Linked DNA regions of Canis lupus familiaris. The protein of the gene in region 1 interacts with the protein of each later gene in a pairwise test. Links are inferred from orthologs where the notes say so. Each region holds a gene or a part of one and is shown in the gene's direction. Other genes may lie near its edges.

Evidence for each region.
Region 2: the proteins of PNMA1 (region 1) and SEMA4C interact in binary tests that used the Homo sapiens proteins (3 or more experiments, as listed by UniProt). The two-hybrid records come from large-scale screens. The link is inferred for Canis lupus familiaris from reciprocal best matches to the Homo sapiens genes PNMA1 and SEMA4C.
Region 3: the proteins of PNMA1 (region 1) and MAB21L2 interact in binary tests that used the Homo sapiens proteins (3 or more experiments, as listed by UniProt). The two-hybrid records come from large-scale screens. The link is inferred for Canis lupus familiaris from reciprocal best matches to the Homo sapiens genes PNMA1 and MAB21L2.
Region 4: the proteins of PNMA1 (region 1) and SUV39H2 interact in binary tests that used the Homo sapiens proteins (3 or more experiments, as listed by UniProt). The two-hybrid records come from large-scale screens. The link is inferred for Canis lupus familiaris from reciprocal best matches to the Homo sapiens genes PNMA1 and SUV39H2.
Region 5: the proteins of PNMA1 (region 1) and SPATC1L interact in binary tests that used the Homo sapiens proteins (3 or more experiments, as listed by UniProt). The two-hybrid records come from large-scale screens. The link is inferred for Canis lupus familiaris from reciprocal best matches to the Homo sapiens genes PNMA1 and SPATC1L.
Region 6: the proteins of PNMA1 (region 1) and ATP5PO interact in binary tests that used the Homo sapiens proteins (3 or more experiments, as listed by UniProt). The two-hybrid records come from large-scale screens. The link is inferred for Canis lupus familiaris from reciprocal best matches to the Homo sapiens genes PNMA1 and ATP5PO.
Region 7: the proteins of PNMA1 (region 1) and METTL17 interact in binary tests that used the Homo sapiens proteins (3 or more experiments, as listed by UniProt). The link is inferred for Canis lupus familiaris from reciprocal best matches to the Homo sapiens genes PNMA1 and METTL17.

What each region holds. Positions count from the first base shown.
Region 1 is NC_049229.1:47,276,317-47,280,681, reverse strand, and holds PNMA1 (paraneoplastic antigen Ma1), read left to right. Parts: upstream 1-1,621; 5' UTR 1,622-1,875; coding exon 1,876-2,937; 3' UTR 2,938-3,747; downstream 3,748-4,365.
Region 2 is NC_049231.1:46,161,288-46,165,855, forward strand, and holds the start of SEMA4C (semaphorin-4C), read left to right. Parts: upstream 1-1,608; 5' UTR 1,609-2,117; exon of another isoform or gene 2,118-2,159; intron 2,160-2,417; exon of another isoform or gene 2,418-2,479; intron 2,480-2,803; exon of another isoform or gene 2,804-2,884; intron 2,885-4,568.
Region 3 is NC_049236.1:48,899,468-48,903,877, forward strand, and holds MAB21L2 (protein mab-21-like 2), read left to right. Parts: upstream 1-1,592; 5' UTR 1,593-2,637; coding exon 2,638-3,717; 3' UTR 3,718-4,334; downstream 4,335-4,410. UniProt on the Homo sapiens protein: Required for several aspects of embryonic development including normal development of the eye.
Region 4 is NC_049223.1:20,695,854-20,699,673, reverse strand, and holds part of SUV39H2 (histone-lysine N-methyltransferase SUV39H2), read left to right. Parts: intron 1-888; exon of another isoform or gene 889-972; coding exon of another isoform or gene 973-987; intron 988-1,831; coding exon 1,832-2,503; intron 2,504-3,820. UniProt on the Homo sapiens protein: Histone methyltransferase that specifically trimethylates 'Lys-9' of histone H3 using monomethylated H3 'Lys-9' as substrate.
Region 5 is NC_049252.1:39,448,666-39,451,491, reverse strand, and holds the end of SPATC1L (speriolin-like protein), read left to right. Parts: intron 1-1,375; coding exon 1,376-1,599; intron 1,600-1,934; coding exon 1,935-2,258; 3' UTR 2,259-2,289; downstream 2,290-2,826.
Region 6 is NC_049252.1:29,060,712-29,064,531, reverse strand, and holds part of ATP5PO (ATP synthase subunit O, mitochondrial), read left to right. Parts: intron 1-145; coding exon 146-256; intron 257-2,594; coding exon 2,595-2,724; intron 2,725-3,820. UniProt on the Homo sapiens protein: Subunit OSCP, of the mitochondrial membrane ATP synthase complex (F(1)F(0) ATP synthase or Complex V) that produces ATP from ADP in the presence of a proton gradient across the membrane which is generated by electron transport complexes of the respiratory chain.
Region 7 is NC_049236.1:18,222,282-18,225,947, forward strand, and holds the end of METTL17 (methyltransferase-like protein 17, mitochondrial), read left to right. Parts: intron 1-25; coding exon 26-120; intron 121-472; coding exon 473-543; intron 544-737; coding exon 738-845; intron 846-1,114; coding exon 1,115-1,183; intron 1,184-1,822; coding exon 1,823-1,873; intron 1,874-2,112; coding exon 2,113-2,205; intron 2,206-2,436; coding exon 2,437-2,624; intron 2,625-2,698; coding exon 2,699-2,822; 3' UTR 2,823-2,947; downstream 2,948-3,666. UniProt on the Homo sapiens protein: Mitochondrial ribosome (mitoribosome) assembly factor. Binds at the interface of the head and body domains of the mitochondrial small ribosomal subunit (mt-SSU), occluding the mRNA channel and preventing compaction of the head domain towards the body.

The sequences.
Region 1 (4,365 bases):
ACCTTTTATTAAATAAGGTTTTAAAAATTCAGAGTTGAATGCTGTGTTCTTTTGGGGAAGATTTTCACCATCTGGGATTGACGTTAAGTAGGCCCTGTTTTGCTTGCAGGGGGTTGCTTGACATTTTTGAACCACAAGGAGGATTCTCTTTTGTCAGCTCTTTCTCGATACCAGGACAGGAAAAATAACACACTAGCGTTTTGCCTGGCTACGGATTATTGACTAGATACGGGTTTTTTTTTTTTTTTTTTACAAAACTTTAGACAAGAAAAAGTCTCAACTCAGTGTCTCACACAAAAATATGAACACGGCACGCTTCCAACGTGTTAGTTTGAGGGGATGTATGGAGGGTGCAGAATGCAATCAGGTGGGACAGGGAAGCTGCGGTGCTAAAGACCGTATTTTCCTACCCAGCGGAAGACCAGTGACGGAGGCATTTGCAGCCTTAACTCCACTCCAGAATTATATTATCTTTTAAACAAGGTGCTTTGTTAAAAAAAAAAAAAAAAATTTTTTTTAAGGGCACCTGGGTGGCTCAGTGTTTGACCTCCTGCCTTTGGCTCAGGTCAGGATCCTGGGGTCCTGGGATAGAGCCCCGCATGGGGCTCCCTGCAGGGAACCTGCTTCTCCCTCCGCCTCTGTCTCTGCCCACCCCTCATGAATAAATAAAATCTTTTTTAAAAAATGAAATAAAGGGCAGCCCGGGTGGCTCAGCGGTTTGGCGCCTGCCTTCGGCCCAGGGTGTGCTCCTCGAGTGCCAGGATTGAGTCCCGCGTCGGGCTCCCTGCGTGGAGCCTGCTTCTCCCTCTGCCTGTGTCACTGCCTCTCTTTCTGTGTCTCTCACGAATAAATAAAATCTTTTTTAAGAAATGAAATAAAAACTGGAAAATGTGAAAAAGGAAATGCGCCACCAAAGAGAGCAGTGTCCGGAGCGTCAGGCCAGCGCCTCTGCAACCGCCCCACCCCGCCCCCAGCCCCAACCCCGGGAGCGCGCGGAGCGGGCGGGAGTCCGGGCCGCCGTTGCCATGGCTACGCTCGGGGGCGGGGCGCGGAGGAAGCGGCTCCGCAGCCGGCCCCGCCCCGCACTGCGGCAGTAACGCCTCCGCGGGCTGCGGTGGGACCCCGGCGGCCCCGCTGCGCCACACCGCCGCAGCCCGCCGCAGCCTGCGCGCCGCCGCCGCCTGTGGCCCCGCTTCCCCGTCCTTCGGCGCCTCCGCCGCCCGTGTGCTCGGTCCTCAGCCGCCCTCACCGCCCGGAGCCATCCCTGCGTCTGCAAAGAAGCCGCTGGCGGGCTGGCGTGGCAGCCACCGCCGCGACCTCAGAACAGGCTCTGCCTCCGGGGACCGCACAGCCCTCGTCTGCAGAGCAGCCGCTCCTCGGCCGACTGGAGGCCGGGCTCCGGCCGCGGACGCCGGGATCGCCTCCGAGGGGAGCCCCGAGTGCCGGCGCCCGGCTGCCGGGAGGAGGCGGCCACGCCCCGCGACCACACCCGGGCGCCTCCGGCCCCGCGGCGCAGCCCTCGCCAGCCGCGCTCGCTGCCCGCCTCCTGCGCTGCGACGGGACGCGACCCCCGGCTGCAGGTGGGGGACCCGGGCCGCGGGCCCCGACTGAGGACGCCGGTGGCGGCGGACGCGTGAGGCGACTGCCCGAGCCTCCCGGGGCTTGGCTCCGGGGACCAGCCGGCGGACTGCCTTTGGGGGCCGCGAAGGAAGAGGGCAGGACTCTGGTGTCGTTTGTTAATTGTGATTGCGTCAAGCTTGCCTCCCTCGCGCCTACGGGGGTGGGGGGGTGTCTGCTGCCGCGCTGAGCCCTAGAGCGCAGGGAGCCACAGCCTAATCCGTCTTTGTAGAATCGGGGCCCTCGCTAGTTGGGGAAATGGCGATGACGCTGTTGGAAGACTGGTGCCGGGGGATGGATGTGAACTCCCAGAGAGCCCTGCTGGTCTGGGGGATCCCAGTGAACTGTGATGAGGCTGAAATCGAGGAGACCCTCCAGGCTGCGATGCCCCAGGTGCCCTATCGAGTGCTTGGGAGGATGTTTTGGAGGGAAGAGAATGCGAAAGCAGCCTTGTTAGAGCTCACTGGCGCTGTCGATTACGCCGCGATCCCCAGGGAGATGCCGGGTAAAGGAGGTGTCTGGAAAGTGGTCTTTAAACCCCCGACTTCCGATGCTGAATTTTTAGAAAGGTTGCACCTCTTCCTAGCGAGAGAGGGGTGGACCGTGCAAGATGTTGCCCGCGTCCTTGGGTTTCAGAACCCCACTCCGGCCCCGGGTCCAGATATGCCAGCAGAGATGCTAAACTATATTTTAGATAACGTTATTCAGCCTCTTGTTGAGTCCATATGGTACAAGAAGTTGACGCTGTTCTCGGGGAGGGACATCCCGGGGCCTGGGGAGGAGACCTTTGATCCCTGGCTGGAACACACTAATGAGGTCATAGAGGAGTGGCAGGTGTCTGATGTAGAAAAGAGGCGGCGGTTGATGGAGAGTCTTCGGGGCCCCGCCGCTGATGTCATCCGCATCCTCAAGACGAACAACCCTGCGATAACCACTGCCGAATGCCTGAAGGCGCTTGAGCAGGTGTTTGGGAGCGTCGAGAGCTCTAGGGATGCGCAGGTCAGATTTCTGAACACTTACCAGAACCCGGGAGAAAAGTTATCTGCGTATGTCATTCGTCTGGAGCCTCTTCTGCAGAAGGTGGTGGAGAAGGGGGCCATAGATAAAGATAACGTGAACCAGGCCCGCCTGGAGCAGGTCATTGCCGGGGCCAACCACAGCGGGGCCATCCGGAGGCAGCTGTGGCTGACCGGGGCCGCGGAAGGGCCTGCCCCTAACCTCTTCCAGTTGCTGGTGCAGATCCGCGAGGAGGAGGCCAAGGAGGAGGAGGAGGAGGCGGAGGCCGCCCTCCTGCAGTTAGGCTTGGAGGGGCACTTCTGAGGCCCAGGAAACGGCGACAGTGCACATCTAGATCGCAGCCGCTTACCTTGTCTCCGTGCTCTTACAGATGTGTCCCTAGTGGTAAAGACTTCCGCCATGTGCTGTTTTGGGGGTGGGGGTAGGGAGTCAGGCCTGAGTATTCATGTAACATTAGTACAATCGCGCAAATGAGCACCCTGAGCTGCTACAAGTGAGTCGTACTCGCTGCAATGCCAGGTAAAGACTTGTACACAAGTGCTCAGTGCCAGCTGTCATTGTGGCAATCATCCGTTGTAAAAACCATGTGAATCCCTGACACTTCTCATTGAGATAATTGTGAAATTGCATGTTCAGATGTTTTAGCGTGGGGCCTGGCAAACACAGGAAGTGTTCGGTAAAAATATGAGCCGTTGTTACTAATATTGTGAATAGTTTTTGTGTTTACAGTAAATTGTTCCTAAGTTTTTTCCCTAATTTATATTAATGGAAAGAAATGTGACTCATACTATTTATTCAGCCTTACAAAGCAAATTGTTTTATTTTTCATCTCGAAACATCTGGATCACTTTAATTGAAAAGTATTCTGAGACTATGGAATGGGATGTTAGAAAAATACTGCAATTCTAGAATTGTGTGAATCAATTTTTCTGTGTACAAGACACAGGGAGTGTCTTGTTGCATGGGGAGATTAATAAGAACCAGTTACAGTATCTATTCCCCCATTTCAAATCCTTGTCATTGAATGGTAGTTCTTGTTCATGCTGATTCTAAGTGTTCTAAATTTGAAGTTGTCAAAATACATGTATATGAATAAAAGTATTTAAAAAATTCTATTGTCTTTTTTTTCTGACACATATATAAAATTTCAGTGTAATTAAGCTCTATATTTATTCTCTTAGGAAGATTTCCTGGTGTCACTTAAAAAAAATATAACTTCAGTTACTGTATCTTTAACCTTATAGCATACTATTTGAGTTTGAATTACAGAACCTTTCAATGTATTCAATTTTTGCATGTTTTCTACAAGGCAAATATTAGAAGGCTGAACAGACCTAAGTCAATATTAACTTACTATAAAAAGTTAGGAAATCCTGAAATGGGGCTCAGGATGTTATCTAGTAATGCTTTTTCTCCCCTTTCAAATCCCTTTTCAGGGATCCCTGGGTGGCGCAGCGGTTTGGCGCCTGCCTTTGGCCCAGGGCGGGATCCTGGAGACCCGGGATCGAATCCCACGTCGGGCTCCTGGTGCATGGAGCCTGCTTCTCCCTCTGCCTGTGTCTCTGCCTCTCTCTATCTCTCTCTCTGTGACTATCATAAAAAAAATAAAAACCTGGATTATTTTTTAAAAAATCCCTTTTCAGCTAAAAATGTTTGTTTTACTACAGGAATAATTTCTCATACCTGTTTAAAATGAATGTTTCTGATTTATAGCAGCCATTTTATTTTTTT
Region 2 (4,568 bases), on another chromosome or scaffold:
TAACTCTCCTGTAGGAGGAAGTAGAGAGAGGAAGTCCTTTTCCTACATCCCCACTCACCTCGGTCCCCAGGCCCTCAGAAAGATCCCTGCAGGGTGGCTGACCCGGGCTTTCTCATTTCCCCCTCTGTGGGTTGACAGCAGCTCCTGGATCCTTTGTAAGTCAGCCAGGCAGTGCTGACTGGAGAAACTCAGTGTGAATCCTGGGCTCCACCCGGTCTGAGAGCTGCCTCTCAAGAGCTAGGGGTAAGGAGCTCAAAGGAGGGACACCATGGCACATAAGTGGGGGAAGGGGCGGGGGCTTGCTTTTCAGATAAGACTCCTGGGCCCATCTATAGGGACTGGCCTCTGCTGAGCTGCCAGCAGATCTTTAGAGAACCTTAGAAGGCATTTAGCATATCTAGGTCTTTCCTTAACTTGGCTGCAAGCAGGTGAGCAGGAGGGTCTGTCAGGGTCTAAGGCCTGAGGCATAGGTATTTTAAATAGAATATGCCAGACAGGCAGTAGGGAGTACACGACAGGTACAGGAGACTTCTTTTGTTCCCCCTTCTTAATCTAAAACCCAGGAATCCTCTTTTTTGACCAGTTGTGCTTTTATTAAAAAGTATGAATCATGAGCAAGTAGTCATGCAGGAAACTTTATCCTCTGTCCACCCACCCATGGAAAAGGCCAGCGCTGGAAATGAACAGAACCCGGCAGGAAATGAGTGCAGGTAGAACAGGGGGTTGGGGGGGAGCTGCAGCCTTATCTTGGAGGAGCACTGGGGAGGGAAGGGCAGTGATGGAGAAGCCCGCCATAACGTCCAGAAGACTGTACCTGCCAGTGAAACCAAACCACCTTTCAAACTTTCCACTGGGGCCATCTTGCAGATGGAGCCAGGAGCTCAAGTCTCTGCCTGGTGGGGGTGGGAGCAGAGGTGAGAAAAGCCGCAGGAGACATGCTGTTTGGAGCTTAAAAGCTGTCCAGATGCACTCTGACTTCGTGGAAGGATAGAACTGGGAGTCCCAAGACCTGATTTAACATTCTGATCTTGCTAATTATCTATGTGACTTTGAGCAGGTTGCTAAACCCTCCAGAGACTCATTTTATCTCTAACATCAGAGAAACAGTAGCTGCCTGTTGAAGAGTCGTCATGAGGATGATGTGAGGAAATGTGTGTTGCAAAGTCTAAAGCCCAGAACAAATGTGAAGGATATTTGCCTATCAGTCTACCTCCACTTAATCACAGCATCTAACCTGGAAGAGGAGTCAAACACATCTCCCTCCCGGCCAGCTGAAGCACAGAACCTTCCCTGCCCATCCCATGCTGTTAACTTGGCTTGCCCTCTATCTCCAGCATCTCCAAGACCACAGCTTTTTTTTTTTTTTTTTTTTTTTTCCCCTGGTGGAAAGGAGCTGGGAAATGTGGCTTTGGCCAGTGGGGGAGAAGGGGCCTTTATGCGTACCAGCAAAGACCCGATTGTTACTGAATCCAAACTGGGCTGCTTTTCCCAATTATCTCCACTACTCTTCTGGTCTCCATTTTCAGATGCCAAGTTTTAACTCAGAACAAAAGCTCCTGTCGGGACTGATTTATAATCCAGATCTGCTGACGGGGCTCTACACTGTTCCTCCCCTCTAGGACTGCTCTCGCTTAAAGTTACCACCAAAGCCTCGGGGCTCCAGTCTCTCTACCTCTGTCATTTGCCCCTAGCCAAGAGGAGGCATCTGTGACTGGGTGCCGATGGGGCGGCTTCCCTGGGGTTTGTCCACCTGCCCAGCTCCGAGGACCAGCTGGCAAGGTCCACTCCAGCACCGCCCAGGGAAGGAGGCCAGAGCCACAAGTGACTTCTAGGAGCTGCTGTGGGCGGGGGCAGGCGCTTCTAGAGGTGGGAGTTCTCCAGCTCGGCTTCCCCTCAGCCGCTTTCATCTGAACAGGAGAGCTCAAGCTCCTGTCACTTGTTGTTCAGCCTTCCGGTGGCATCAGAAGGAGTCGTTTCTTGGGGGCAGGCTCCGTGCAACAGGAGTCTCCCGGAGGATCGTCTTCACCGGGAGCCGGGCAAGCGCGCCGCTGTCCCTCGGTGTGGAGCATGAAGACCGAGGGGCAGACTCCCCGGAGATAAGTGGGTCTTCCCGGCTGGTAAGACTCGTTCCAGCGTGACTGCGGGGAGCCGGGGGGGCCCTGGGGTCAAAAGAGAAACCACTCTGGTCCGCCCCAAAGAAGAGCCTCGGTTTCCCCCGCTCCCCTCCCTGGGATACTCGCCCCGAGGTGGCTTGCCCGCGTTGGTTCCTGTGACCGCAGCGTGGGCGCTCCTCGGCCCCATTCCCGAGCCCAGGCGCCCGGCCCGCGGGTGGCCTTGCGGGGGGCGCTGGACTCCTCGGAAGGGCCGGGTGAGTCCGAACCCCCAAGGCAGTGCCCGGGGTCCCTCCCCCGCCCCACCTCCGCGCGCTGTGGCGCAGACGGCGACTCCGAGGCGCGGGGCGGCGGGGCGGCGGGGCGGCGGGGCGCGGGCAGGGGCGGGGGTCGGAGCGCGCGGGAGGGGAGCCGGGGGCCCCGCGGGTCGCGGCGGGTCGCAGCCCCCTCCGGCGCTGGCCTTTGCGTCCCGCCCCCGGCCTCGGCTGACGCCCCCCCGCGCCTGACGTCAGGGGCAGGGGGCGGAGAGCGGCGGCAGCGCCGGAGAAAGAGCCGGCGCCCGGCGCGGTGGCGCGGTGGCGCGGTGGCGCGGGGAGCCCGAGCCCAGGGGCGCCGAGCCGAGCCGGGACCGAGGGGCGGGGGCGGAGGGGACAGCGAAGGAGGGCGGGCGGGCGCGCGCGGGCGGGCGGGCGGGCGGCGGCGCGCGTGGGGGCGGACCGCGATCCGAGCCGAACGCGAGGGCGGCGCCCAGGGATTCAAGCCGCGCAGAAGAGGTGAGTGAGGCCGGGCTTGCGCGGGGCGGGAGCGCCGGGGCTCCGGGGCCGCCGCTTTGTCCCCGACTCGGGCAGGGGCGGCCGCCCGCGCGGAGGACAGGGTCCGGGGGCGCAGGCGCGGGTGGCGGCGGGGACGGCAGTCCGCCCGGGATCCCTCCTGCGCCCCCCGCGAGCTGCCTGGCGGGGGTCGGGAGCCGGGAGGCAGCGCCCGCAGCCGTAGCGTCCGGAGGCGCGGACTGGCCAGGGACAGCGGGGCGAAGGGGAGAGGGGACCCCGTGCTGTCGGGCCGGCGGCCGGGATCCTCTCCGGGCCCCCGAACTGCCCCCGGCTCCCCCACCCCCGACGGAAAGTTTGGGGCGGGCTTGGACCGTGGCCGATGTTGTGGATCGGGTTTCCCTGCCGCGGCCCCCCGCCCCCCGCGCGCCCCGCCGGGGAGGCGGGCTGTCCCGGAGAGCCAAGCTCCCGACCCACGCCCGGCCGCCCGGTCCCCGGCGGGAGCGCTCGCGCTGCAGCCGCTCCGGGTGGCGAGGGTGGGGGGCGCCGCGCCCGGGCCCCGCGCTCCTGCGGCCCCCTCCCCGCCCGCGGCCCCTGCTTCCCCGCCCCGGGAGGAGCTGGGGGTGGGGGCGCCGCCGTGCTGGTCGCGTCTCGGAGCGCGCCGCGGGGCCCGGGCCCGGCCCCGGGCTAGGGTAAGGGGCAAGGGAGGCCTGGGGGCGTGTTGGGGGGCCGGAGGGGGGAGGGGTGAACGTACCCCCAGCCCCCCGCCCTTCCAGAGCTAGGGGTACTGGGCCGACAGGGGGCGTCCGCAGGCCGGGCTCGCCACGCTCCCAGCGCCGCCGCTTTGTTTGCATTCAAATCCCGGGAGCTGGGGGAGGGGAGAACCTGGGGGTGGGGGGTGGCCGAGGACCAGGTCTTGGCGGGGACCCTTTGTTTTGGGGCGAGCAGGTCCCCAGCTTCTGTGCCTCCGTACCCGGCACTGGAAGGCCGGGGCAGTGGAAATTAATCCGGATGGTTGGCCCAGGCCGGGTCCCGGGGCGCAGTGCCTGAGTTGGGAAGATTGGGCAGCCCCGCGGGTAGCGCAGCAGGCGGCCCTGCCCTGGGCGTCCCCCGCGGTCCGAGAGGAGCCCTCCTCGCGCCCCGCACGCGCCTCGACTCCCCCGCCCCCGCCTGAGAGCGTCGCGGGAGATCCCTGATTAGACCCGAGCCGGCTGTCGTCCCGCGCCCCAAAGCCGGAGGGCTAGTGTCTCCTAGGAGGCTGTGCGGGGAACAGGATGAGGCCCTGGTCATTTCCACGCCCATCCCACCCACTTCCTGCCTCCCTTCTTGGGCAACAAAGGGGCCTCGGGAAGCTGGGCCCCTTCGGCTCCGGCCCCACTTCAGCCCTGCTGATGTGGAAGCCGGGTTTGGGGCTCTGCCGGGCTATTGTCTGCGCTGGGGGAGGGGAGAGGCCGGGGCCCGCACCCCACAGCCTGATGCATCAAGGCCGCTCCCTGGGGGCGGTGGGGGCCTTCTGCAACCACCCACCCACCCACCCTATGCCCCTTCACCCTGCCAAGGGGCTTTCGTGACAGAAGTAGATCTTGGGGCCGGCTGGAGCCCCACTGGGGGCAGGTCCTGCTTCCAGAGGTTATTTTAAGAAATCCTCAAATCTGTCAGGCCTGAGTGGGGGAAGGGGTCCCCTTTTAAT
Region 3 (4,410 bases), on another chromosome or scaffold:
CTTTTAAGAAGGCACCACAAGTCCTCCCAAGGGGTTTTGCAAAAGCCGCAGGCACACCGGGTTTTGCAAAAGGAAGTCTTTGCCCAGATGGCTTCATTGATTTTTATTTCTTATGTCATTATCAGAGAATACAATGTCCAAAATCTATCTAAAAATAATTCCATCTACTTGATTTGTCTTAAAAAGACTCAGTATCCAGACACCTGAGATTCAAACATAAACCCTCAATACTAAGCAAATCAGAAACACTGGTACAGCTTCTTTCATCCAAAAGTAGGGAAAGGCTACAAGGGGTACAGCTTGAAAGTATAACACATATACTAAAAGCACATGCATGAGTTTCACTGAAATGCCAAGGGAGGAGTGAAGCCATCTGTGTAATCAATAACAGGATAGTTATAGATTTTTGCAGCAGTGAAGTCTTTTAAAAGCAACAGTCAATTATGAAAATAAAATCATTTTACAAGTGAAACTCTGTACTGCCTCAGAGTGTATTCAAAATTAGATTTACAACATTTAACATTTTAAGAAAACTTGGGTTTACTTTTACTTCTCTTCATTTTTGTTGTTTAAAACAATTTTAGTGGCTTATGTTAAAAGTATGTCCAGAAATATTCTACCATATATAGAGTAGCATTCTTTCTCAGAACTTAAACCTATTTTCTCTCTAATAGCTAGTCTTCTTAATAAAGAAATAGCATAAAATATAGCTGAATCTTAATTATGAAGTAATTATCAAACAAGGTGCTTGCACTATTTTTACCCTGCTCCAGTTTTTCAACAGCTTATGGAAATTACTGAAAAGAGATTTATATTCATAAACCTTCACCCCATATCCACTCCACCACACAGCCCAACTGGTGCACACATACTGCTCTGGCTTTTGGCAACAATGGGAAAGAAGGGGAAGACAAGGGAGGAAGACTTTGCCAAAGGAGAAAATCTAGAAAAAATGTAGGTTCTTTCCCAGATTCCCCTTCTTCCTTCTATTTGCTTTCAAGCAAAAATAGTTTTGTCAGAGTTTGCACCTTCTGCACAATATTGGTAGGGGGGAAAAAAGTGAATCTTTCTCAACCACTGCTACTCTCTCGTGCGTTATTCCAGCCATCTCCAGGAAGTCCCTTCTATATAGACTCTCTTTTTCTTCCTTGCAACTGATAAGAGGAGAGGATAAAGAAGAAGGGGGCTGTAAAATATGGGTGAGCATTTGACTTCTACTATCTCCTCCTATTTTCTTACTTCTCTCTTACCCCCTTTCTTTATCAAGTGCAGCGGTGGCTGCTACTGTCTGCCAAGCATGCCTGTCTTCTCTCTGGGATTGGCTAAAGCACTGACAGCTCGGAAAGCGATTGTAGGAACTGAAGCTCCACCCCCCTCATGATGGCCCTGGACCATTCATAAACTAAATAACTCCAGGAAACAGCAAGGCAGAGAGAGAGAGAGAGAGAGAGAGAGAGAGAGAGAGAGAGAGAGAGAGAGAAGAGAAGAAGAAGAAGAAGAAGAAGAAGAAGAAGAAGGAGGAGGAGGAGGAGGAGGAGGAGGAGGAGGAGGAGGAGGACGAGGAGGAGGGGGAGAAGGAGGAGGGGGGAGGAGGAGAGAGAGGGAGAGAGAGAGAAAAGGAGGGAGGAGAGAGAAAAAGAGGGAGGGCGAGGGAAAAGGAGAGAGACGTCGGAGGGGAGGAGGGAGAGACGACTCAGAAAGTGGAATCTGCACAAGCAACCTAAAGGGGGAGGAGAAGAAAAACCCTTGAATCCTTATAACTAAACCCCAGATGCAACGCAAGCAACGACTTCGTCACACTAGAATAGATTCTGTGAGGGCCAAAATTATAAATTACGAAGCAGAAATGAATATCAAACAACTTCCAGCGGTTTGCACCTAGAGAAAGACAAGAAGCAACCACTGCAAACAAACAAACCCAGTCCAAACAACGCCTCCAGTAGGAAAAGAGGAAAACCGCTACAACACGACCCCCTGAGAAGAGAGCAGACCGTCAAGCTGAGAGCGCGGGGCGTCTGCAAACCTCCAAGTGTGCCTCGGACAGAGCTGCACGTCGCTGCTCTCAGGACCTTAATTACGGCCTTCACCTTCCATTTGGGGGAGGGTGAGGAGAAAGGCACTCACCTACGCTGAGTGAAGAAGTCGTACCAGCGTGGGAGAGAAGTTTAAGAATGAAACACTGAATGTTTCGCTTTTATTTTTAAATTTACTTTGGCACTTAAAAGACCTCATTTCCAGATTTCTGGGCCATCTCGGCTGTAGACATCTAAGCCTAACCTCTTGGTAACCTGAATTTTTCTCTCGGCCCCTCTCCTCCCCCCTCCCCTTCATCTCTCTCACAGCACATCTTTATTTTACATATCAAGCAAAAAGGTCCCAGCAGGTACTTTTCTTCTTCAAAGATTGCCATTCCCCCTTATTTCGGGAAAAGAAAAAAGGTTTCTAAAGAGGGGAAAGAAAAAGCAAGGCGGCTGTCGCAGCAGCCGGTCAGTCCAGGTGGAAAACAAGAGTGAAAGTGGGGCTCAGGGGAAGCGCGACGCCTCTTTCGCCAGCCGCAGGGCCACCACCACTGCGTGAGCCTTGGATCCCTCAACGTACTGCGAGACGCCGGTGTACAGCCCGGACCTGTGCCCCAACATGATCGCCGCTCAGGCCAAGCTGGTTTACCAGCTCAATAAATACTACACCGAGCGCTGCCAAGCACGCAAGGCGGCCATCGCCAAGACCATCCGAGAGGTCTGTAAGGTGGTCTCGGACGTGCTCAAGGAAGTGGAGGTACAGGAGCCTCGCTTCATCAGCTCCCTGAGCGAGATCGATGCCCGCTACGAGGGGCTGGAGGTCATCTCGCCCACAGAATTCGAGGTGGTGCTCTACCTAAACCAGATGGGCGTCTTCAACTTCGTGGACGACGGCTCCCTGCCCGGCTGCGCAGTGCTCAAACTGAGTGATGGGCGGAAGCGGAGCATGTCTCTCTGGGTCGAGTTCATCACAGCGTCCGGCTACCTCTCGGCGCGTAAGATCCGCTCACGCTTCCAGACCCTGGTGGCTCAGGCGGTGGACAAGTGCAGCTACCGGGATGTGGTCAAGATGATCGCAGACACCAGCGAGGTCAAGTTGCGCATCAGGGAGCGCTACGTGGTGCAGATCACTCCCGCGTTCAAGTGCACCGGTATCTGGCCTCGCAGCGCGGCACAGTGGCCTATGCCCCACATCCCCTGGCCTGGCCCCAATCGGGTGGCGGAGGTCAAGGCCGAAGGGTTCAACTTGCTGTCCAAGGAGTGCTACTCCCTGACCGGCAAGCAGAGCTCTGCGGAGAGCGATGCCTGGGTGCTACAGTTCGGGGAGGCGGAGAACCGCCTGCTGATGGGCGGCTGCCGAAACAAGTGTCTGTCGGTGCTGAAGACGCTGCGGGACCGCCACCTGGAGCTGCCAGGCCAGCCGCTCAATAACTACCACATGAAGACGCTGCTGCTGTACGAGTGCGAGAAACACCCGCGGGAGACGGACTGGGACGAGGCGTGCCTAGGCGATCGGCTCAACGGCATCCTGCTGCAGCTCATCTCCTGCCTGCAGTGCCGCCGCTGCCCTCACTACTTTCTGCCCAACCTCGACCTCTTCCAGGGCAAGCCCCATTCGGCCCTGGAGAGCGCTGCCAAGCAGACCTGGAGGTTGGCCAGGGAAATTCTCACCAATCCCAAAAGCCTGGACAAACTATAGGGTGCTGGGGACTGCTTGAAAAGCGACACAGACCGGAATGCTCTCTAACACACAACACACACAACTCAGCGACCAACAGCAGAAACTCCGGACACAAACTTTTATGTAAGCCACCTGAAAGAAACAGGAAGCAGGCACAAGACCTTCGTTAATTAACAAGCAAACAAAAAGAGAGCAGACCAACCAACCAAAATAAATCACATTCTTGCACAAAAGTGATCGTTTTTCTTCCAAACAATGTGAATTTAAAAGGTCACACAAAAGAAGCAATCGGGCTTTGCCACCACAAAATGAAACCCAAGGTACATTTTCAAATCAATGTATAGTAGTTTCTCCTCTTTTCCTTCGCTCCCTTTCTCCTTTCTCCTCTCTCATCTTCTTTCTTTCCCTCTCCCTCTCCCTCTCATTTCATTTTGTTTTGGGTTGCCTGAATGTTGTCACCAAGTGAGAAAAAGTATTTAATTATATGTAAAATTTCTCTTTTAAAAAAAGTTTTGCTGATGTTAAATGTATCTCAGTGCCAATGTCAGATTGTGCCCCTCCCTTTCTTGCACCTCTACCCTCACCCTAAGCAGTCTTGTTGAAAACAGTAATAAAAATATTACTTTACATTGTAATTGACTGTGGATTGTTCTTAAATGAAGGCAGGGGAGATCACAATTTATAATTTACAATGTAAAGATGTGAACTTCA
Region 4 (3,820 bases), on another chromosome or scaffold:
ACTGTTGTAGACAAAAAAGAGGACTAGAGTTGAATTGCTTTATTCCCAAGTCAGAAAAATTAAAAACTTCCTTAGCTAAGAAGTAGAATAGATATGTTAGATACTGCCACTTGGATCACATTATTGTTGAGCCAGATATCTACTAATGTAAATCCTAAATTGTAGTAACCGGACAGGAGGAAGAAATCTGTGTTACTTTAGTCAGCCAGTTTAACACTTAAATATGTGACTAAGCTTTTCCTTTTTTTCCACTGAAATCACAATATGTATTTCCACAAAAGTACAATTTTTGTGCATATCTTCACACCTTAATTTAACCATATTTTTTAATAGGTAATGCATATTTTGACTGTTTTTGATAAAGAATAGTTCTTTTAATTCACAAGCAGTATTGCTTATTGAGTAGACTATACTGAAACATTGAGATTCATCGGTGGAGAGAAAATAAAACTTACTGGCTAAGTGACTTCAGCAAAGCTGCCTCAGGGTACCTCCCCCTAATTTGTGCCTCAGCAACATTTCTCAAGTCTTCCAGGTTATTTGGCATTAATAAATTATGAATAGTAGAACAAGTGTGATGCTCATCCTTACTTTATAATAAAAACTTTGTTAAAAATTTTAGGGAAAAGCAAATGTATCCCAGTTAAGGTTTTAATCTATATCTGATTTAAAATAACTAAAAACTGTAGAATACAGTTTAATCACTTTTATATTTTAGAATGTGGATATATGTTATTCCAGACGACAAAGAAAAAATTGAAGGGCTTTAGAATTTTTTTATTTTATTACACACTTGACTACATTTTTAAAGAGAAACTTACTTAACATGGAATTCCCTGATTTTAAGGGAGGAGAACCTCAGTGACTCACTGGGGTAGGAAGGCAAAATTCTAGTTACCATGGTGGCCACAACAGCAGTCAGAGGGATAAATCAAAATGTTTGCTCTTTGGTAGCTGCTACCTAATCCATTCATGCGTGAGTCTAAAGTAAGAATTCTCTGGAATAGTTATGTCCAATAGAAACAATATAAGCTACATATATGTAATTTTAAATTTTCTAGTAATCACATTAAACAAGTGAAATGAAACCAGTGAGATTGCTTTCAGTAATATTTTTAATTAGGGGCACCTGGCTGGCTCAGTCGGTAGAGTATGTGACTCTTAATCTTGGGATTGTGAGTTTGAGCCCCACATTGCTCATAGAGATGATTTTAAATTAAAAAAAAAAAAGATATTTCACCCAATAAAAGCAAAATATTTCAGTAATCAGTACTTTTCAAATGTTGAATATGTTATTTTTTTGTTTATTGTTTGAACTCAATGTATATTGTACTTAAAGCACATCTCAATTTCAACTAGCCAGATTTAAGGTGCTCAGTAGCTACATGGCAGCTAGGAATGTTTGTATTGAACATTGTGTTTCTAGAACATCTAAGGGCTGTGTGCCCCATGATATAGAGAAGTAGAACTTGCCTTATATCCAATGTAAAATATTAAAATTCCCTACTTAGAGGATGCCTACATCTGTGCTGGTCATGTCAAGTACTAACGTAGGTCATAAATTGTTAGTTTTGAGACTACCTGTTTCCATGATCAAGATAAATACCATTGAATTTCAGTACTCTTATCTCCGAGGTGCAATTCTTTACCTGTGTTCAAACATACTAAACTAAATTCTGTACATATTTTATGTAGTATAAAGAAAACCTCTGACTCAGTGTATTCTGAACTTTATTAAGGAGAATGATAATGGCTACCTTACCCTTCAAGATATTATTTTAAGTAATTAGGACTGTCATAATCTGATTGCAATTTTCTTTTATATTTTAAGGATATGGAATATTATCTTGTAAAATGGAAAGGATGGCCAGATTCTACAAATACTTGGGAACCTTTGCAAAATCTCAAGTGCCCATTACTACTTCAGCAGTTCTCTAATGACAAGCATAATTATTTATCTCAGGTAAAGAAAGGCAAAGCAATATCTCTAAAAGACAATAACAAAGCTCTGAAACCTGCCATTGCTGAATACATTGTAAAGAAGGCTAAACAGAGGATAGCTCTGCAGAGATGGCAAGATGAACTCAACAGAAGAAAGAATCATAAAGGAATGATTTTTGTTGAAAATACTGTTGACTTAGAGGGCCCACCTTCAGACTTCTACTATATTAATGAATACAAACCAGCTCCTGGAATCAGCTTAGTCAATGAAGCTACCTTTGGTTGTTCATGTACAGATTGCTTCTTTGAGAAATGTTGTCCTGCTGAAGCTGGAGTTCTTTTGGCTTATAATAAAAACCAGCAAATTAAAATCCCACCTGGTACCCCCATTTATGAATGCAACTCGAGGTGTCAATGTGGACCCGATTGTCCCAATAGGATTGTACAAAAAGGCACCCAGTATTCACTTTGCATCTTTCGAACTAGTAATGGCTGTGGCTGGGGTGTAAAAACCCTTGTGAAGATTAAAAGAATGAGTTTTGTCATGGAATATGTTGGAGAGGTATGTTCAACTTAAATAATGGGTGTGGGAGGTTTATGCTTTTTTTTTTTACCTTAGTAACAAATATTGGTACAATTTTATATTACTATTTGCAAGTGTGTAAAAATCTCGGGTTTGAGAGAAGGGTTCACTGGCATAATTAGAAATACAGACTTGTATATGAACAAAAATAGATATAATGACAAACAGTCCTCTTTCAAAAGCACCCATTCCAAAAAAAAAACAAAACCAAAAAACCCACACATAGTCATTGAAATTGTAAAATATGGCAACTATTTTACACAAAAGTCCTAAGAAAAAAATCAGATCTACACACATGCTAACTTTAGAAACGTTTAGATTATAATCCATCCATTTGACTAAATATGGTTAAGTGTAGTTGGCCAAATTCAGTATTGTATCAACATGAGAGATACTGTAGACAAATGTTTTCCGTACAAATGTAAAATATACCTAAGAGCATTTATTGCATCCACAAGAAAATCCAAATTCTTTGTAGCTCAGAGACTATTCTCTAAATTACCAAAGACTGAGCTAATTTATTTTTATACATATAATTTGAATATATGAAAAAGTAGTATTTAGCATGTACCACATACTATTCTAAGTACCTTTTGTTTTAACTCATTAATCGTCTCAATAACTCTGGGGTAGTAGTATTATCTCCATTACTATAGATGAGGAAACAGGCATAGAGAATTCAACTTGAGCAAGGTCACGTTGAAGTGAAGAGGAGCCAGGATTCAAAACCAAGGCTCCAAAATGAGTGCACTTTTCCCCTATGCTACACTTCCTCAAACTGAGTGAAGGATTACGCTGACTGGAAAATAAAAGTGTGACTGTGTATCTCAGTTTGTCACATCTGACATTTTAAAGTTATGTGGAATTAGGTCACATATAATTATCTGTATTCATCTAGAATTCTGAGATTGGAAGTATTTCAAGCCTTCAGTATTGAGACAAGGACAGATTATTGTAAATCTCTATTAGGGATACTAGATCTTGTATAATCAGATTTGTAAATCTGGTTGACACCGACAATCACTTTAGATGTTTTTGGTTTAACTCAGGCATCTGGTAAAGCTATGTTCTTAGAACAGAACTGTACACGAGAGTTTTGAGCTACAGAATTACATGAAAAGAGCCTACTTTACGAAACTAAACTTCCCATACAGTTGGCTGCAAATTCTGTATTTGTAACAAATTTCCATTTATAACTGCACAGATTAATTACAGGAAAAATAAGGTTTTTAAGACTATCTTTACTTGTAAATTTATCCCTTTATATTCCATTATATCCTACAGAAAGCTATACTT
Region 5 (2,826 bases), on another chromosome or scaffold:
CGTGCACCAGGACCCCCTCGCCGCGCACGCTGGAGCGCCGAGCTGTGCTGCTGTGAGTGGCCACCGTGTGGCCTGTCACCCCAGCATGTCACAGCAGTGTTTCTCCTCGGCCCCCTGAAACCTGCTTTGCCCACTGGGACCCCGTGGCCCCAGGGCCCCCCAGCTCTGGGCCCTCGTGGGGTTCAGTGGGGAGCCGGGCTCTGGGCCGTGTGGCTCAGACGGGACCCTCTGCCGGGCTGTCCACACCCTTGCAGCCCCTCCCTGTCCCCACCGCAGAGCCACCTCCCCTGACGCCCATGGGCCCTGTCCGCGGATGCTCCCCTCTCGGCGTCTGGGGGTGCACGGCTGAGGCAGTTGCATCCTGACCCTGTCCTCAGGGGCCTATCTTCGGGGCCTGTCCTCAGGGCCCTGTCCTCGGGGGCCATCCTCAGGGTCTGTCCTCGGGGGTCTGTCCTTGGGGCCCGTCCTTGGGGCCCTGTCCTCGGGGGTCTGTCCTCGGGGCCCTGTCCTTGGGGGCCGTCCTCAGGGTCCGTCCTCGGGGGCCTGTCCTCTGGGGTCACCAGTGGCCACCTGGCAGCAGCCTGTCCTGAAAGGGCTGATGAGCCCCTGTGGTCACCCACTGGCGGCGCCGTGTGAGCGCCCTGGAGGCTGTCTTGGCTGGATGGTTAAGGGGACCCGGGCACAGGATGGGGCCGAGGAGGGCAACCACCTGCCCACGGCCACGGCCAAGGCTGGTCCTGGGGTCCTGCCGCTCTCAGGGCTCAGGTGCCCGTGTGGGGTGTCCTGTGTGTGGTCATGGGACCCACCCGTGGGTGCGCCCCTGCCCTTGGGGTGGAGCCCGCAGGCTGCACCAGGCGTCACCTGTAGGGTTGGTCTGGTGGCTGGACAAGCCCTGGGCTCCTCGTGGGGATGAAAGCCCGGCAGGAGCAGAGGGAGGTGTCGGGCGGAGGCTCTGGGCGGCGGGGATGCGGCTGTGCTCGCCGGGGTCTCGGGGTCACACGCATGGGGCCAGGAGCGTGGGAAGGGTCTGCTGACTGAGGGACGGGGCTGCAGCAGGTCTGGAAGCAGGTTCTGGGGGGACAAGACAAACACTCCTGGGCTGAGAAACAAGTTTTAAAGGCATTTCCCTTGGTCTCAGAGGACGGGGGTGGGGTGGGTGGCGACGACCCCGGACCACAGGTGGTCAGGCTGCCTGGGGCGAGGGGACAGGGGTCGCTGCCCTGGGACCGCAGGAGGGTCCAGCTCTCCTTCCCCTGCTGTTACCCTCCGGCTTGGGGGCGGCCGGGGCCCTCCGCGGTGGGGGGGGGGCCGGGCCCCAGCGCTTCACCCCAAACCCGGGCGCGATTACTTCAGTTGTTCCCCCAAACGGATCCAGGGGTGCGGCAGGAGGAGGCTTGGCCCCTGACTGTCCTTGTCCTGCGCCGGCCTGCCCCGCCGCTCCTCACAGAGATCCAGGGCTGCTGCGGCGCCCAGAAGGACGGGCGCATCGTCGGGGAGATCGCCTTCCAGCTGGACCGGCGCATCCTGGCCTACGTGTTCCCGGGGCTGACCCGCCTGTACGGCTTCACCGTGTCCAACATCCCCGAGAAGATCAAGCAGGTGCGCCCCTGCCGCCGCCTCCCTGCCGGGTCCCTCCCTCCGCTGGGGCCCTCCCGCGCCCTGGGGTCCCTCCCTCCCCCCCGGGACCCTCCCTCCCCGGGAGCCCCCTCCCTCCCCGGGGTCCCTCCCTCCCCTGAGCCCCTCCCCAGGCCCCTCCCTCCCGGAGGCCCCACCCCGTGCTGCCCACACAGCTCTAGGGGTCCCCCCTCCCCCCACCTGCCCTCTGCGGCGGGGAGGCCTCGGGTGACCCGGGGTCCCAGCGCCCGGGCCGCGCCGCAGGGGGTGGGCAGGGGGTGGGCAGGGGAGGGCCGCCGCCCACGGAGCCGCCCCCGCAGACGTGCACCAAGTCCCTGGACGGGTCGGTGGACCAGACGCGGCTGCGGGAGCTGACCCAGCGCTACGCGGCGCTCACGGCGCGCCTGGAGAGGCTGGGCTACAACCGCGACGTGCACCCGGAGTTCAGCGAGTTCCTCATCAACACCTACGGCATCCTGCGGCAGCGGCCCGACCTGCGCGCCAGCCCCCCCCGCAGCCCGGCCGCGCTGCGCAAGCTGCTCATCGACGTGCTGCCCCCCAAGTTCCTGGGCGACTCGCTGCTGCTGCTCAGCTGCCTGTGCGAGCTCGCCAAGGACGACCGCAAGCCGCTCTTCGCCTGGTGAGCCGCCCGCAGCGAGCCTCCCTGCGGGGCGGGCGGGGCGGGCGGGGCTGGAGCGGGTCGCCTGCGCCCCTCCCGCGGCCGCCCAGGAGCGCCCCGGCCCGCCCGGCCCCAGCAGGCGCCCCCTCGGCCCCTGGCCCGGCCCGGCCCGGCCCGGCCCGGCCGCCCACACCCGCGGCACCATCGAGTCACTGTATTAAAACCATCCGTTTCCTGTTTCCCTTTCCCTTGGCTCTTTGAGGGGTGGAGAGCGCGGGGAGGTGCCCGCGGGATCCCGGGGCTGAGCCGCGACCCAGCCTCGAGGGGCACAGCTCCCGGGCCTCCAGCCAACGGGGCACCCGCCCGGCCAGGCCTCGAGGACTCCACTCCGGCCGCAAGGAGCCTGCGGCTGGTTTCCCCAAATGCAGAGCCTGAGGCGAGGGTTCCGTGCGGGCAGGGCGGCTGTAGGCCCCGCAGAGCTGGGGCAAAATGAAAACACAGGTCCCTTGTTCCGACGTGGGAATTGCATGGGGACAGCAGCGTAGGGGACAGAGAGGAGGGCGCCCGGGGCTGTGTGGATTCCGGGGAACCTG
Region 6 (3,820 bases), on another chromosome or scaffold:
CTCTTCGATGACATCTTTAAAGGGTTGTGTGCTATAAATGATGTCATTTTTTAATATAAATGTTAAATCCTTCTGTTGGCAGTATGATATTGTCTTAACTGATTTTCCTTTCCTCTTCCTTCTCTACTCCATCCATTTTTTAAAGCCACCTGTTCAGATATATGGTATCGAAGGTCGCTATGCCACTGCCCTTTATTCTGCTGCATCGAAACAGAATAAACTGGAACAAGTAGAAAAGGAATTGTTGAGAGTAGCAGTAAGTAGTTTTTTGTTCATTACTTACTAAATTTCGATCATATGTTTTTTGTTTTGGTTATTTGGCCGTGTAGCCCTAATGAGACATATCCTGAGAGAAAATGAACTATAAAAAAAGAAAAAACCCGAAATCATGTTGATAGTGATAGTAGTGGGTATTAATATTTTGAACCTATTGTGTGGTAGGTACAGGCAGATACATACCAGGATATTAATATTAGGAACCAAGACTTGGGGCTTAGAGGAGAAATAGAAGTCACCTTTGAAAATCTGTGTTTGTATTTCAGGTATTTTCAAAATAGTTTTTAGAATGTATTATAACGTGCCTTACTAGGAATTTCTTTTCCTTTTGAAGCCTTTCCTCAGTTTCAATTTTTATTTTATTCCCAAGATGTGAGAGGAAAATGACCAAGCACAGCATGCTGGGCAGCAAAATTAGGAAAGTCATATGGGCTCTGTAATGATAATAGAGAACTGATAAAGATAATGAAGCTTACAAGGGAGTCCATTTTAACATTTTTTTTAACATAAAGAGTAAAATAATTGAATTAACCGAAGTCTACTATGTAACTTAAAGGGGAAAATCTGCTGTAATTTTAACTCCATTTTCTAGTTAACAGGTTCCTGCCCATTTTGTTTACAGCAGAAATTCTCTCTCTCTTTTTTTTTTCCCAAAGATTTTATTTATTCATGAGAGACACAGAGAGAGAGGCAGAGATACAGGCAGAGGGAGAAGCAGGCTCCACGCAGGAAGCCTGATGTGGGACTTAATCCTAGGACTTAAGGATCACACCCTGAGCCGAAGGCAGACGCTCAACCATTGAGCCACCCAGGCATCCTGAAATTCTCCTCTTTGAGTTCTAGATTGAAGGTGGAGTCTATACCCTCTCCCAAGAAAGTTTTGCTCTTTTTTGGTATTATGCTTTCAGAAGTTCTTGTATTTTTAATCCACTTATTTCTAAAGATTTTTTTATCTTACTGTTCAGAAGAGAAAACCCTCACAGGCTAGTCACATAGGATGATACTTGTTCATTTTTCATTGTAAGCTTTTTTATCAGAACTTTTGTCCTAGTGGATAACATTAGCTCTGTATTCCTTTATGTCTGCAGATGATGCTTGCGGTCTTAGTTGGCATGATCCACACAGAGCAGGCAGGCTCACACACAGCTCTTTTGGAGCTGATACTTACTGCCCGCTCTTGTCATTTATGCCCATTTTAAACGTGAACAGCAGTGTTCACAGTAGAGAGCGTGACCTGGGTTGTGGTTCTTAGAATGGGGTTTGACTAAAACCTGGAAATCGGTTAAGATACAGAGAGATAGAAAGGAAGCAATTACCTGAAGTCTCTATAAAAAATTAGCAGTTTTTTAGAACTGAGAGGAAAGTGTTAATGCTACACAGATGCCACTACAAAGCTTTCCCACTGGATGATGGAGCAGAAAAAAACTAGAAACATGAAATACTGGATTCCCCAAACACCAGAATGCTTTTAATTTTTGTAAGTCAGCAATTTTTAGGGGAAAGTGTTGTTTTTATGGAGTCACTTAAATTGAAATTTTAGCCCTAGATGCTAGTATGTGACAAGTAGCCTGGATTAGACTCACAGTTCTGGCCAGGAGCCTGAGAAAAGGGACTGCCAGGGGTATTTAATTGAACGAAAGGTGCCCGGATGGAAACAGCCATTGGTTCATTGAACTCTGGCCTGATACAGAGGGGAACAGGGTACCAGAAGTTACCTTGGGTCACTGAAAACAGACATTTATGAATTAACAAAATAGAGACCCATGCTGTCACTCCTGGTAGCCACCTCCCATCCCAGAATGGCTGAGGCTTCTCTGGAAACACCAGAGGTCTCTCACGGGGCCCTGTAAGAGACAGGGCAGGGGCAGGACCAGGCTGAGACATAGAGGCCCCCTCCCAGGGCATGACAAGGAGGCCTCCTTTGCCATCAGAGCACCTTTTTAGGTCTGCACATGAGTGTTAGCATCACTAGCCTTCTCGTAGTTTGTGAAAATCTAGAGGATTACCCATATTAAATACGTTAACAATATGCAGTTAATTGACTATTTTGGCTGCTTAATTTTTTAATAATCTCTTGAAAAGCAAAAATAGACTTAAGAAACCTTACAAAGTGTTTTTAAATTTTTTCAAGAAATATATGAGATAAAGGTAGAAAGTATTCTCAAAGGCAATGAAAAGTACTTGATTGTAAACTTCTCTTCATAAGTGCTTGAGTGCTAATTAACGAAATACGTGATTCATGCGAAAGAAGTATGTTGTGGCAGCTAGGATCATTTATGCTTTAAGGAGTTTACGAAATTATTTTTTGGTACTTTCAGCAAATCTTGAAGGAACCTAAAATGGCTGCTTCCATTATGAATCCCTACATAAAGCGTTCCGTGAAAGTGAAAAGCCTAAATGACATGACAGCAAAAGAGAGGTTCTCTCCTATCACATCCAACCTGATCAGTAAGTATTAGACCTTTTCCACTGAAGCTGCTGGAAATCTTGCTATTGGAAATGTCCAAGGATCAGGAGCATCAGCATTACCTGCCTTTTGGCAGTGAAGCGTCTCAGGACTTAGCCAACCTGCTAAGTCGGAATCTTCATCTTAACTAGCTCCCCAGGTGAATTGTTTGTGCATTAAAGTTTGAGGAGCACTGTCTGAAGGATGTTAGGATGTAAGAAGATAATTACAGTCAGTACCTTCACCCTATGGAGAAGACCGGTGGGATTCATACCCAGAAAATGGTTTGCAGCCAGGGCTGTACCTCTGTCCTTGAAGACAGGTGGATTCTTTGGTGCATTTGGCTTGACTTTGAAGTCCTGTGGTCAGCCAGAATACGGGCTCCAAAGCAAACCATCTTTGAATATAGATATATGTTAATTTGGGGATTTGTAGCCAAACACTGGAATCTAACCAGAAATAGGAGAATCAGACCACAGGCTGTGATGAAGATGCCTGTTGCAGATCTCTGAGACCTCCCCCTACACCCGCCTTACTGATATAAATGCCTGTCAGTGCTGGTTCTTTTAAACATTGGATATACTTTTTTTTTTTTTTTTTAAGATTCTATTTATTTATTCATGAGACACAAAGAGGGGGCAGAGACACAGGCAGAGGGAGAGGCAGGCCCCATGCAGGGAGCCCAATGCGGAACTCGATCCCAGGTCTCCAGGATCACGCCCTGGGCTGAAGGCAGGAGCCAAACCACTGAGCCACCCAGGCTGCCCTGGATATACTTTTTAAACAACAACAAGTTGTATCTCCTTTGTATTCACATTCTTTTTTTTTTTCTTTTTTTTTTAAGATTTTATTTATTTGTTCATGAGCGACACAGAGAGAGAGAGAGAGAGAGGGGCAGAGACACAGGCAAAGGGAGAAGCAGGCTCCATGCAAGGAGCCCGATGTGGGACTCGATCCCAGGGCTCCAGGATCACGCCCTGGGCCGAAGGCAGGCACTCAACCGCTGAGCCACCCAGGCGTCCCGTTTATTCACATTTTTAAAGGATATTGAATATAGTATTTTAAGGCCACAAATCTAAATTTGCTTTAGAGGTGAAT
Region 7 (3,666 bases), on another chromosome or scaffold:
GGTGATTCATATTTTGCCACCTCAGGGCCGCTCACAGTGCTTGGGGCCAGAGCCTCCGTGAGTATATGTGTGTGGACAGCTCAGCTGCTATGTTGGATTTGGCAGAAAAGCTACTGAGAGGTGAGGACAAAGGATAAGGAAGGGCTCTTGTGAAGTTGGAGGAGTTGAGCAGGAACTGGAAAGGGTGTTTTACCGGGGAGTGGAGGGGGGCTAAAAGCTGAAGAGGAGTCTGATTTCCTGCGAGCTCACAGCTGAGCAGAGGGTGGTGGAGGCCTTTGCTGGGCCGTGGATGGGTCGGGTAGGATTGAAAGGACAGCTGACCCAGTCTCCCCAGCCCTTTGCAAGTTTGCTTACCCTTTTGCATCTCGCCCTTCCCTAGTGGCGTCCTTCATCCTTGGGGGCGTGTTTCTTGCCGAGACATCATTTTATACCTACGCACTCACCGCTGCCACGCCTCTGCTTCACTCCACAGGTGGCTCAGCGTCCGGGGAGCCTCACGTTCCAGGTGTCTTCTTCAGGCAGTTTCTCCCTGTGTCACCCAAGGCAAGTGACGACCTTCAGAGAATCTTAAATGTGGAATTTGGCAGATGGAAAACTGTGATTTCAGTTTTGCAACCCAGCCTGGAGTGTTAGAAGATAGAAGAGAACAAATACGAGGGGAGGGAAGTTTGTGACGCTCCCGGAAGGGCCAGGCCGGGGGAGTGTCAGGTCCATCATGCGCCGCGTCTGGTTCTCAGGTCCAGTTCGATGTGGTGGTGTCGGCCTTCTCCCTAAGTGAACTGCCCAGCAAGGCTGACCGCACTGAGACCATCCAAACCCTGTGGCGCAAGACAGGTCACTTTCTGGTGAGTTGAAATTCCTCTGCCCTTCAAGTTGTAAAGCAGCCTCACGGATCTCACGCGTTTCCTTCTCTCTTGTCTCCGTTGGAACTTGACCGTTGTTCTCAAGCGTAGGTGTGTTCGTCCCCCTTTTAGGCTCTGCAGCCCCACCTGCTGTGGGGATGGCCCTTTCCTTTAGGGCCCTCGACTCCCTCGGCGAAGTTCCCACGGAGCTGCTAGCATTTGTGTCCTCGTGTAATTCAGGGCTTATGCTTATTCTCCTTTTTGGTGAGCAGATATTGGTAGAGAATGGAACAAAAGCTGGCCACTGCCTTCTCATGGATGCCAGGGACCTGGTCCTCAAGGTAGGATTCTTTCTCCTTTCACTCCTGCGCCACCATCTCGCCAGTTAGCCCTACTCCCTTGCGAGTCGAAGAGCCTCACTGCTCAGAGTCCTGCAGTGGTGGGGTAACGCTCAGGGTGTTAGCACGCGCACTCCTTACGGTGCAGGGGGGTGACTAGCCAACCAGGGCCTGCGGGCACATCTGGCCTCTCACCCATCTTCGTATGTGCCATGTGGCCTGCGAAGAGTGGAGTTGACAAGTCAGCACAGAAACTGATTTTGTCTACTCCCTGGGCCTTTAAAAAAAGAAAAAGTGCGCGGACCCCTGACTCAGGGCATTGCTAAGCCAAGAACCTTATCTTCTGGGGATGGTGTGAGCCAGTGGATGATCGTGAATTGAATTGTCCTGCAATGGGACCTTTCTGCAAGTAGAGGTTGCTGACAAGGGAGAGCACCACGTTACGTGCCAAGTCCCTGCTTTACTCCTCCTGCAAAGAAAAAGTCCTTTGTTTGGAGTATTAGAGAAGCAGCCAGCTTAACTCAAGGAGCCTAGTTAGTCATTATCAGAATTGAACGTTAAAGGAGGCCTCCGTTTACTGAGTACAGACGCGGAGTTACAAGAATACACCCCTCAGACCCAGCCTGATTTTTTTTATTTCAGGGGAAGGAGAAGTCACCTCTGGACCCTCGACCTGGCTTTGTCTTTGCCCCGGTGAGTGTTGTCTCTGCCGTTCCGTCACGCAAAGACCTGAACTCCGCTGTGGCCAGGAAAAGTGAGAGGGTGAAGCTGAGCCAGTCTCTGCTGTCTTGTGTCCCCATCCAGTCTCGGTCTTGGTTGTTCCCCGCTCTCCCTGCCCCTGGTTCCTGTGCCCCCATCTCCCTCACCCTGCTTAACTCTGCCACTCTGAGTTTTCAGTTGTATGATTCTCTGGTTCTTTTCCGTGTTCACAGTGTCCACATGAACTTCCTTGTCCCCAGTTGGCAGCCTCTAAACCTCTGGCCTGTAGCTTTTCTCAGGCTTACCACTGCATCCCCTTCAGCTGGGTATGTATCCGGAGAACCCTACAGCAGAGAGAAAATAGTCCGAGGGGGCAGATGATAAAGAGTACGAGGCAGGCAGAGCTGGGGAAGTCAGCGAAGAGCCTGGAGGTTTGGGGGCCTGGGTGTGCATGGCTTACAGAGTATGAAAAGGGCTGCAGGGACTCGGGGAGGGGGGGTCATGATTTTATTTCCCATCTCTTTTCCCTTCAAATCGTCTCTATATTTTTATCTCAGAACAAGAAGAAGCAAAAAGAGGAGAAGTTCTCGATGGTAATTCTTGCCCGGGGGCGTCCAGAGGAAGCTCCTCGATGGCCGCGTCTCACTCAGCCTGTCCTTAAACGGCCACGCCACGTGCACTGTCACCTGTGCTGTCCAGATGGGCACATGCAGCACGCTGTGATCACAGCCCGCCAGCATGGCAGGTACCAAGGCTGTAACCAAAGTTGGGGACAGCTGGCAGGACCCTGCAGCCCACACTGACCTCTCTTTACTATAGGGATTTGTATCGCTGTGCTCGCGTCAGCTCCTGGGGAGATCTTCTACCCGTGATCACACCGTCAGAGTCGGAGCTGCCCCCGTCCCCTGCTGAAGACCCCCTGAGGGTCGACAAGGATGCGTAACAAGTGTTTTCTTCCTTAGGCCTGCCAAGGCTGAAGCTACCTGGCATCCAGGGTGGGAGCGCTGGTAGCCCTGTGTGTTCTCGCTTTAGAGGTTTTAATAATAATAAAGTTTTCAAAGCGTAGAAATGGATCTCATGATTCTTAAAAGGTCCAGGGCCCAGTCGTCACGGCCTATCCTATGACAGGTGTTCAGTGCCCACGCTCCCACACGGACCCCAAGCCCACCTTCTCCAGTAAGAGTGCTGCTGCCTCTACCAGAGACCAGGACTCCCGGGGAAGTGGTGGGGCTGGTAGGGAAAGCTGCCCCCAGTCTCCGGGCACCGGCCCAGTGGGCATCGGGTTGTTAGGGGGCCACTAAGAAGGGGAGCCAGGCTGCCCAGCCTGTGGTTTCTTCCCTTTTCCTTCTATCTTTCTCAGGGTTCGTCAGCTCCCCAGCCCAGTTTCCTCAAGAGCTGATCGCCACGGAGCCTGAGTTTTCCATCTCTACCCCCATAGATCCAGGCAGGACCCTTCGGTTTGCTTGGGTCGTCTCTCAGTTTTTCACTCAGCCTCACTGTTTCAGGGCTAGAGCAGTTTTCTTCGCCCTAAAATCTCAGCCTCTCTCCCCCAGGACACAGTCCCGACCTATCATGGCTTGATTTTCAAACTTTTCAACCTTAAGATGAGATGAAAGTGAGGCGCATCCAGTAGAACCCAGTCTTTTGTCGGCTTGGCAGTCGGGTACGGTGGTCTCTGGTGATGCTGTGCAGCTACGGCTCCCAGGCGGCAGTGCCAGGAGGGCTGGTACACAGCCACTCTGCTTCTCACGTCCCGTACGGCGTGTGGCAAAGTGCGTGGACTTCAG